Caenorhabditis elegans: one gene and its partner. The protein of the gene in region 1 interacts with the protein of each later gene in a pairwise test. Each region holds a gene or a part of one and is shown on either strand. Other genes may lie near its edges. The genes, in order: vet-6 and rbm-7.

Region 1 (5,371 bases):
ACTTTACAACAAAATGTTCAGACGGTTTCATTTTCACATTTAAAAAATAAATATAACCCCTGAAAACACGTGGAACGCCTAGGATTGTCCTGGAACGTTCGTATTTGCTTCAGAGGCCATTTCTCGGCTCCCAATGATTTTCGCAGCACCAAACTTGACCAAAATGATCTTCCCCACCTATTTATTACTATTCAAATAATTGTTGAAAACATTTATTCATATGAACCAAATGGTAAAGGGAGCAACTGCAGTGATTTTCAAAAGGCTTGATTTAACTATGAAAACTAGCGTTTGGAGGCGCAGAGCTGATGGTTTTGACTTCCTATTGTACAGAATTTTAGCTCATCCGGTTCAAATATCCTTGAAGCTTTGATTTTGATTAGAAGTCTTCGAAAATTTATTCGGAAAAGTTCATGAGACCGCTCAAAAGAGGACAAAGGCAAAGCGAGGCCGCAAGTATTTTTCTCAAGCTAACACGCGAAAATTTTAAAGACGAAAGTAAGATATAACTTTCTGAATGGCGATTTTTCTAGCTGTATTTATAACTCAACTGAAATTTAGCGAATTTGCTCATTGAATATTTCTATGGTCAAAGAACCTAAAAGCTAACAGACAAAACCTGAATCGGTGAATGTAGATGTCTAGCATTTGATGTATCCATGGATTTCCACAGATTTGATGTTCACATAATATAATTTTTTTTTTTTGCTATAATTTAGTAATTCTTAGTCGAAAATGTATTACCAACCTTCAGCTCTGCGCCTCCAAACGCTAGTTTTCATAGTTAAATCAAGCCTTTTGAAAATCACTGCAGTTGCTCCCTTTACCATTTGGTTCATATGAATAAATGTTTTCAACAATTATTTGAATAGTAATAAATAGGTGGGGAAGATCATTTTGGTCAAGTTTGGTGCTGCGAAAATCATTGGGAGCCGAGAAATGGCCTCTGAAGCAAATACGAACGTTCCAGGACAATCCTAGGCGTTCCACGTGTTTTCAGGGGTTATATTTATTTTTTAAATGTGAAAATGAAACCGTCTGAACATTTTGTTGTAAAGTTATTCACAAAATAAATTTATTAATTAAGAAGAAAACCCCGATTTTACCGAAAATTGCCAAAAATCAGAGGGGGTGCTATAGAAGTTGGACGGCCATTTTTCCGATATTTTGACCTAATTCCTGTGATTTTTGAGATATCATAATGAAAATTGGGGAGCATAGGTTTTTCAACATTTGCTATCGAACTGCACTAGCACTTTTTCAAAAAATATTTTGAGAAGCTCCAAACCGCCAAATTGGAGGGGGGTGCTATAGAAGTTGGACGCACTGTATACCCTAGTTTGAAATTGCTTGGCAAAGTAAGATGAAACATTAAAAGAAAAGGCACTGTAATTCAGCAAAACAGACTTGACTGTACGTCCCAATTTATTGCAAGAGTGGGAGAATATTAGTGTCATTTGACAGATGCTCAGTGTTTTTCTAGATATTCGGTCTCCTGGGACTCCACTATAAGAGGGTTGCCATCGTCTCCTTTTCAGACAATGGCAGGCTCCTCCTTTGTCCAGATAAATCACTTTATGGGTAATCGATAACCCAAAACGCGCAAATGGAGTCTGACAGATTTCAGGCACCTTACCACTCAGTCTTCCAGTCATTCAATCTTCAACTGCCCTTCCTGGTTGGTGAGCTGGTTTTTTCTTTCCTTTTTTCAATTATTTTCCTTATTTTTCTGTTACCTGTTTTGTCGTATTGTCTTGTCTAGAAGATTCTAATTATCTTCAATTTCCAGAAAGTAAACTCCAACGATGAGTTCCAACTCTGCACTTGAATTGAAATCTGCTCTCTCACAACTCAATCGCGAACGTTCTGAAATGGTCAAAGATCTGGAAAAGGCACAAAAAGACTATGTGGCTGCAAGAAACATGCACAAGTCTACTGGCTCTCAAAATCACCTTGAAGTTGTTAACACATGCTGGAAGAATGTTCAAGCGGCACAAAAAGCTCATCAGAGCAAAGTAGAAGAATTTCATATGGTTCGCCGTTCATTCGCGGATGCAGTGAGGGAGAGTCCGGAATCTTGTTCTATTAAAAATCGAGGTCAGTTTTCATTACTCTTTGAAGATTATAGATTTTCTAATCCTTTAATTTCAGAAAGCAATCCATCTTCAACCAATGATCAAGATTTAGCCGCCAAAAAAGCTGTTCTGGATGCCGAATTCCGAGAAGAAGCCATCAGAGACGGAGTTTTTATCCCAACTCAACGATACAACTCTACACTTCCACCACCCTTGGTTCGAAATGAATATGTTGCCGAACCAAAGAAATCGACCGCTGATGAAGATTTCGAAAAGCGGATGGTAGAGCTTCAACGTCAAGCTTCGAAGTATGCAAAGATTGGTGATTCAGCGGTATTAAAAGATCGCTCAACTGGATTGACAGCTGCTACCATACAGCTCTTCGCAGAATATTTTCCCAAGCGCCGCGAGCTGTCAAACGCTCGAAAAGACTTCATGACAGTACTGAATTTGCATGCTTCTACTGGTTTTCTAAAATACTGTGAAGCGGTTAATGCAAGCAGGAAACACTTAGAAGCGGTAGAAGAGGCTTATCGGAAAACAACCAATGAGCTTTGCAAGGATCTTAATGAATATCCGATGGAGTCTGATAAAGATGTCAAAGAGCGTGCTTCAAAGTATGCAGAGATCTGTCGTTTAAAGGAATCAGAAGATCAACTTTTGGATCTGCTAAAGCCGGCATCCAGCGAATTAATCCCGTTGTTCAATGAAATAGTGAATCTGTCCGGCATTCGTACCAAGAAGACACCGACTCAAACCACTGAAGCCTCACAGATTGCTCCAGAAAGCATTTCTACCTCAAATGTAGATCCAGCAACTCAACTAGATCCTGAAACTACCCAGACATCACCGCTCACCTCGGCCCCAGTTTCTTGGTTCAACTCTGAAAGTTCCGATATAAACCAAGGTAATTTAATATATTTATTAATATACGAAACTATAATTAATTATAAAATCTTTTTGCAGACATCACATCATATCCGGATCTAGTACACCACCCTGGTGTAGATTCCGAAAAACAGATGGTCGAGTTTCATCGTCAAGCTTTGAGGCTTTATGAACTTCAGACTTCTCAGACACTTGCTTCTTGTTTTGATTCTGAAAGTCAAGAAGTGAACTCATTGCTCAATAATGCGTTCGTTGAAGCCTCAGAGATTACTGAAGAAAACATTTCGACCACAAATGTAGAATCTACATCACAGTCAGAGCCAACAGAAGTAACTCCAGAAACTACCCAGGAATCAGCACCCACCTCTGCTCCAGTTGTCTGGTCCGAAGCCCCAGGATATGGTGCGAGACAAGGTAACTAATTAAGTACCACAAATCTTTTAATCATATTATTATTTTCAGAATGTAATCCTCGGATGTGCACCAACAGACAACACTCTTCTCCAATCAGGATCCGTCATTGCACATCAAGAAATGTCACAACTTACAGTGTCTATTGCTGGAAGAGACCTTCTCACGTATACACCTACAATCATCAAGAGGAGAAATTCGAGCAGCACAAGTGTCTTGCCTGTGTTCCAAGAGTTCAAGAAAACCACTTATTCCCCACGTGTGCAGTTTGGAACGAGAAAATCTCCAATTTCGTGATTTTCATGGACAATATGGTGACAAAGCAAAAAGATGAGCAGTACATGTTCAGCTTCAAGACTGGGGGATTCGAGCAAGTGAACTATCCGGAGGTGCAACCAGCTCAAGGACCGAAAAACACTGATTTTGTAGCAGCAGTCAATGGAGATGGAGATGATCAAGTGATCATCCAAAAGTCACGATTTGGTGTGAAGAAGCTGGAGTTCAGATATGGAAAGTATGTGAAGATTCCGAGTGTTGAAGTGAGAACTCTTTTGATGAAGGAGCTGGAGGGTGTGGAGATGGTTCAAGAACCATCCAGTACTCTTCCATTATCCACAATCCGCTGGTGTCCAACATACAGTCAGAGTGCTCTCTATATCTTCTCCAGTCGATTGGGACATTATCTCAAGTACGCATTCAACCCATCTACACAGCAATTCGAGCAACTCAACTGTTCGGGATGCCCATTAAATGTTGAGGAATGGCACTTGTGTCCATTATACGCAGAGTACGCTGATTCTATCAAAACCTATGTAATTCATGTCTTCAACGATTTCACAAAGGAGATTGAGAAGTATATGTATTGCGTGACAGGAAAATGTTTCTATCAAGTTACATGTCCGGAAATCGTCTACGATTCATCGAAGGCCCATAGCTCAACAGTGCTTTTCACCGTTTCTGCTCCAAATCACCCATTCACAATTTTTATGAAGGATGTTAATGGAAGAATTAAGAAGGAGCAACTCAACGGGCTTCACAATGGTTATATGGAACTTCCCAGCGCCAAAGTCTACACGTTGTATGCGATGAGATGTAATAATTCGGCTGGAACTACCGGCATCTGAAAATATATTCATTTTTGCAATATTTCCATTTGATTTTCATTGTTCTGACCTGTCCTTTTTTGATAATTAATTTCAATAAATTATGTTTTTTTATTAGAATGCAATTTTATTAGAAGCAATTTATAAGAAGCAAATTTTATTAGAAGCAATGGCTTAGGTTCCCCGAATAGGGCCACTGAGATTCTTAAAATACTTTCGAGCCAGACCTAGGTAAGTAGGGGAAGAGAAAAAATGAAATAATGAGTGGACGAAAAAGTAAAATGACCAATTGGACGAGCTATAGTCTCCGGGAGGTCAAGTTGGGAAGAGGGTGTCGGAGGGAAATAGAGCCTAGGCGCGACGTCTACCGTAGACAGCCCTACCCTAGACTAAAACATGTTTCAGGTGTGTCTCAAACATTGATACACGTCTCAATTTGAATTTGTCCACTAAACGGTATGACTGACATTCCACTTTTTCTGCTTGAACTCAGTGAATATGAAACTTTTTCAAATTTGGTTTCCAAATTCTGAAAGACCACAAAATTTGCAACAAAATGACAGGGATTTTTGAAAATGTTAGTTTAAAGCTAGATATGATTTTTTTAAATTGGAAAAATTGTCGTCTGTCGACAGACGAAAAAATAGATTGACAGACGAAAAAATAGATTGACAGACGAAAAATAGATTGACAGACGAAAAAAATAGATTGACAGACGAAAAAATAGATTGACAGACAAAAAATAGATTGACAGACAAAAAATAGATTGACAGACGAAAAATAGATTGACAGACGAAAAAATAGATTGACAGACAAAAAATAGATTGACAGACGAAAAATAGATTGACAGACGAAAAAATAGATTGACAGACGAAAAATAGATTGACAGACGAA
Region 2 (5,925 bases), on another chromosome or scaffold:
GCACTGCAACTTTTTCCTCACGAGGGACGAGGAAAAGTGGTTTCTAGGCCATGGCCGAGGGGCCGACAAGTTTCAGCGGCCATTTATCTTGCTTTGTTTTCCGCCTGTTTTCTTTTGTTTTTCACAGCTTTTTCCCGTTTTTTCTTATTAAAACTGATAAATAAATACTTTTTGCAGACGCTAAAACAATTTCCAAGTAAAAAAATCATGTATTCAGTGGGCAAGCAGCGGTGAAAGTGGGCATTGTAATATGATTATTGGCCACTTTCACCGCTGCTTGCCCACTGAATACATAATTTTTTACTTGGAAATTGTTTTAGCATCTGCAAAAAGTATTTATTTATCAGTTTTAATAAGAAAAAACGAAAAAAATCGATGAAAAACAAAAGAAAACAGGCGGAAAACAAAGCAAGATAAATGGCCGCTGAAACTTGTCGGCCCCTCGGCCATGGCCTAGAAACCACTTTTCCTCGTCCCTCGTGAGGAAAAAGTTGCAGTGGCGCGCGAGACAGATGTGGCGTTGTTCCAATTTCTTGGCAATTAGCCAAGAAAATGGGAGAACGAACGGGGAAGAAGAGATATGGGAGACGACGGGGGAGACCCAGAAAAGGCGGAAAGTGAAAGAGCTGGGGAAAAGTAGTGGAATATCAAATTTAATCAAAATTCTTCGAAAAAAGGGGTTTTTTGCATTAAAAATCATGTTTTATGTTCATTTTATGTTTTATTACATGTTATCAGTGAAAATAATTGTTTTTGTCATCAAAAAGTATTTGTGAGCATGCTCATGAGCACATATGTGTTTGAGACAAGATTTCTAACAATTTATGGTTTAAACACACTAAATAAAGTACGAAATTACGATTAGCGTTTAAAAAAAATCAAAAATCTTTGTAAAAAATGCCAAAGAAATCAAAATTTGATGTCTTATCATCATCATTTGTGGGTTTTTAATGAATCGTCTAGCAAAAGAGAGGCAGGAAATTGCACTTTTCAGAAAAAAAACCCCACGAGGGGGCGCCTGATCTTGTTTTTTCTCGATAAAAATTGCGGAACAACGGAGAAATATTTATTTATCAATCTAGAAAAATATTGTTCCTCATAGCCTGAACCTGAAAAGAACTTTCTAGTTTTTTTGAAACTGCTATGAAATAGTTAGTAAAACAAATAAATAATGACTCATTTGGGCGCTCTGACGATCTGAAAAGCAGGTAAATTCGTCATACAGGAGAAAAATGAGGAAGAAATAACCTTTTTTCTTTTGAATTAAAAAAAAGCGGACATTTTTCTGAGGAAGAAGGGGGCTAAAGGGTGGCTAAAGGGCTCTTGAGACGGATTCGATTTATTTTTTGAGGTAGAAATATGGATTTTTAAGTCAATTTAAGTTTGGTTTCAAACAAAGCTAATTCTCAGGAATTGAGCGGTTTAGCTGTATAAAAATTTTAAAAATAAATACACCGCTCGCTCCATGGAGAAATATTAATTTTTGCTTTAAATCGAACTGTAGAGCTCTGCGAGCCTCTTCTCCACTCGACACACGGAAAAAACTAGTAAAAGTACCTGAAATATACTTTGGAAACAATTAATTTTCACAAAAAACGGAAAAAGGTTAAGTAAATTTGCTAAAACAACCAGTTTTTGTCGGCTAGGTTCTACTTTTCTAGTGCCGTGCTGGCTTTTCTCTATGCACGAGATATGCGCCAGCAAAATCGAGAAACGCGTCAGCGAGGACATGTTTGCGCCATCCGGGAATGGGAATGGGATTTATTTGGTTTTTCTCGTTTTTCTCGCTTTTTCTCTCACATGAGTGAATTTTCAGCCTTTTTTTCGAAATTTCGAATTTAAATTTGAATTTTCAGCAAAAAATGGAAATAAAACCAACGCCATCGCCTCCAGAAGAGCGCACAATATACGTGGCCAATTTTTCAGAAGAAGTCGATGAAGAATTGCTCGAAGAGCTTTTTATTCAAGCCGGCCCCGTTGTAAAAGTTATTCTGAGAGATGTGAGGGATTCTAATGCAAAATTCGCATTGGTGGAGTTTGAGGTAAGCAATTTCGCTGAAAAATTTAAAAAAAAAAATAAATTTCAGGACGAATTATCTGTACTATTCGCCATTGAATTGATGAATGGAGTGCGACTTTTCAATCAAGAACTACAAGTAAAGCCGCGAAATGGCACAAATCAGGAGGAATTATATAAGCGAAAAAAAGGAGAAATCGAGGAAAGAGTTCGATCGGTAGCGGCACCGGATCGAGACGGAAGACGGGATAGCTATAGAGATGATCGGAACAGGAATAGGTAGAGTTTATTGGATTAATTCAAGGATTTTAAGGCTCAATTAGCACGATCTGACGCAGCAAACACAGCTTCTTCCGTTTGTCGACGGGAATCCGGAGGCGCGATCTGCGGAGAGCCCGGCGGCAAGAGCAACGGATGCACAACATCCTGGGCATCGTTCGGCTGGATTTGAAGCAGCGTCAGTGCACCGAGCATTTGTAGACTGGCCGTCAATGTTGGCGACGAAGCCGGCGGCAGTGGAGCAGGCTGGAAATTGAATTTTATTGATTTTTTAGCGTTAAAAATCGTACCAAAGCAACTTGGGAATCTGTTAGCATTGTTATTGTTCCAGATGATCTGAAAAGAAACAAAATTGATTTTTTTTTTGAATTTTATAATGAAACTTCTTGAAAACTTTTCCAAAAAAAATTATGACGGCTCAAAAAATGGCCTAAAATTCGTTAAAATCGGAAATTTGATCGACTTGTCAATGTCGCAGCGGCTGGAAATATATTTTTTTGAAATCACCGTTAAATTTTGAGTCTACAAGTTGATATTTTGCGTTTTAAACTTGATTAACAAGGAAAGTCGAAAAATTTAATGTCTGACTTTGGCATGACATAGTATTTTTCGATAAAAGAGTAAAAATAATGATGCCTCCAAAAAATTTAGCTGCCCGGTTCAGGTTCAGCAAAGTTATGACGTTTTGGAAGTGACTAAAACACCTTTTTACAAAATTTCAAAATTTTCAACAAAAAAAAATTTCTAAAAAGAGGAGCAAATGTGTGTAAATTATTCAAAACAATGAAAAACATATGCTATGCAAGTTTTAGGTTATACCTCTCAAGAAAACCCACAAATTAAATCTGCAAAAAAATGTACTTTTTGGAATTTTCCTCAAGTTATGTAGATCAAGCAATGTGCTTTTTGGTCTGTGGTGAGAAAAAACGTGTATGATAAATGTTTTTCTCATTTTTGGATAAGTTAAAACAGTTTTTTCCTCTTTTTAGAAAATTTTTTTTTTTTTTGAAAATTTTGAAATTTTGTAAAAAGGTGTTCCAGTCACTTTCAAAACGTCATAACTTTGCCGAACCTGGACCGGGCAGCTAAATTTTTTGGAGGCATCATTATTTTCACTCTTTTATCGAAAAAAATACTATGTCATGCCAAAGTCAGACATTAAATTTTTCGACTTTCCTTGTTAATCAAGTTTAAAACGCAAAATATCAACTCGTAGACTCAAAATTTAACGGTGATTTCAAAAAAAAAATATTTCCAGCCGCTGCGACATTGACAAGTCGGTCAAATTTCCGATTTCATCTAATTTTAGGCCATTTTTTGAGCCGTCATAACTTTTTTCTGAAAAGTTTTCAAGAAGTTTCATTATGAAATTCGGTGTTTTCAGACAATTTTGAGCCTAATAAGGCAATTTTTAAAAAAAATTCTACTACACCAGTGGTGTAACACCACCTTTAATTATAAAAAACATTATAAAAAACTCACGCTCTGCCCCGCAGCCACAGAAATTACAGCGAAAAATACGATAAGAAGCTTCATCTCTAACTCAGACGATGATAAAAAGATCAAATTCGGCTTTATTTTATACCCGGCGTTGGCTTGGTTTCTGTCTCACAACATTTTTTTTTTGATTAAAAATCTCAGAAATCGAAGAAAAACGTTGAAAATCAACAAAAAAAGGCCGAAAAATCATTTTTTTTTTGTCTTTTCCAGAAACGGAAACAACCGTGACTCATGGCAGCAGCAGCAGCCTCCTCGTCATCATCGACAATATGATCCTCTTCCACCTCCACCGCCACCTCCACTGATGGGAGGATCCGGAGGACATTGGAGAAGCGGAGGGGAAAGAGGTAGCAAAAAAATCGATTTTTAGTTGAAATTTCTGAAAAATTGGAGATTTTTAGGCCTGAAATACATGAGAACGGGCTCAAAATAACTGAAAAATGGAAAAAAAATCTTTTTTTTAAAAATTTTTTTTTGCAAAAAATTCAAAATTTCAACCTTTTTTCCGCAAAAAAACATGCTGAAACCCTAAAAATCGATAATTTGCAAGGTTTTTGCGGAAATTAGCCGGAAAATTTGATTTTTAAAAAATTGAGCCAATTTTTGAGGAATTTTAGAAGAACAAATCTATAATTTTTCCGAAACCCCCTCAATATAAGTGAGAAATCGGTGAAAAAATCTTAATTAGAAAAAATTTTTTTTTGTTCAAAAATCTGAAAAATTGGAGATTTTTAGCCCTAAATTGCATAAAAGCAGGCTCAATTTACCTAATTAGGCCTAAAATAACTCAAAAATTGGGAAAAAAAATTACACCAGACGAAAAAAAGAGCATCGTTTGTCCAATTTTCAGACATTTTTCCGCAAAAAAAAATTGCTGAAGCTCAAAAGTGGCCAATTTTAGAGAGTTTCAGGGACTTTTTTTGCGGCAAAAAGTCTGAAAAATCATTCCTAAAATCAAATATTAGAGAAAAATTCAATGAAAACCAATAAATTTTCTGCAGAAAAACGCAGAAATGTCGGAAAAATTCGTTAATTTTTCCAAAAAATCGATTTTTTTTGCAGAAGTTTCTGAAAAGTTCTAGATTTTTAGACCTAAATTTCATGAGAACAAGCTTAATGTACCTAAAATAACTAAAAAAAATTGAATAAAATTGAAAAAGCTGAAAAAAGTTCGCTGAAAAAAGTAACCAATTCAGCCGAAAAACGCAAGAATGTCGGAAAAAAAATCGAAAAATCAATATTTTCCAGGTCCTCCACAATATTCGACTCCGCAAATGCTTCCTCATCAACATTTTGTAAATCAAATGATGCAGCAACAAATTAATAGATCCGCTCCTCCGTACAATGGACGTCATCAGAATTCCACGCCACACCGTCATCACGATCGTCATGGATATGACCGAAGCTCGAGCCGGCATCATCGCAATGATGACAGAAGACGTGAACGTTATTGATCGATGATTCGGGCGGGAAATCATAATTATTTTGATCTTTTTCACTTGTTTTGCCATGTTTTTTGGTCTCATTTTATATATTTAATAAAAGCAAACACAATTTGAAAATATAGAGAAAAATGCAACAACAAAGATCTACTGGAAATTTTCAAAAAAATTTATTTTTAGGCTCCGCCCACTTCCTGGATATCCGGAAATTTCAAGTGATTTTTTTGGAATTTTTTTCCTTTCCAGAAAAACAGATATCTCCAGGAAGTGGGCGGGGCCTAATAAGCCGTTTTTTTTTGAAAAATAAAAAAATCCAAAAAAATTTATTTTTAGGCTCCGCCCACTTCTTGGGCATTCGGAAATTTTCAGTGTTTTTTTTGGAATTTATTTTCCAAAATAACCTATCTCCAAGAAGTGGGCGGGGCCTAAAAAGCAGTTTTTTTTTGAAAATTGTTAAAAAATCAAAAAATTCGGATTTTTTTTGGAAAATCCTAAAAATTCAGAAATTCCACAGAAAAAAAACACCTTTTTTTCAATTTTGGCTAAATTTTGGCCGACCAACCAGCGAATTGCTTCGCCCACTTTCCGACCAATCAGGTGAGAGGTCCACCTTTATTATTTCATTAAAAGTAAACAATTTGAAGAAGGAAAAAAAAACGAAATAACAATAAGGATCTACACACTAGA

What was found.
Region 2: the proteins of vet-6 (region 1) and rbm-7 interact in a two-hybrid assay, tested with the Caenorhabditis elegans proteins (one large-scale study listed by BioGRID).

Annotation. Positions count from the first base shown.
Region 1 is NC_003279.8:13,268,195-13,273,565, forward strand, and holds vet-6 (Very Early Transcript), read left to right. Parts: upstream 1-1,789; 5' UTR 1,790-1,805; coding exon 1,806-2,097; intron 2,098-2,151; coding exon 2,152-2,982; intron 2,983-3,041; coding exon 3,042-3,377; intron 3,378-3,425; coding exon 3,426-4,498; 3' UTR 4,499-4,588; downstream 4,589-5,371.
Region 2 is NC_003281.10:12,927,799-12,933,723, reverse strand, and holds rbm-7 (RRM domain-containing protein), read left to right. Parts: upstream 1-1,856; 5' UTR 1,857-1,862; coding exon 1,863-2,042; intron 2,043-2,087; coding exon 2,088-2,296; exon of another isoform or gene 2,297-2,336; coding exon of another isoform or gene 2,337-2,542; intron 2,543-2,586; coding exon of another isoform or gene 2,587-2,632; intron 2,633-3,778; coding exon of another isoform or gene 3,779-3,832; exon of another isoform or gene 3,833-3,851; intron 3,852-4,006; coding exon 4,007-4,143; intron 4,144-5,044; coding exon 5,045-5,250; 3' UTR 5,251-5,354; downstream 5,355-5,925. Other genes in the region: Y37D8A.19 (uncharacterized protein), read right to left, coding at 2,337-2,542, 2,587-2,632, 3,779-3,832.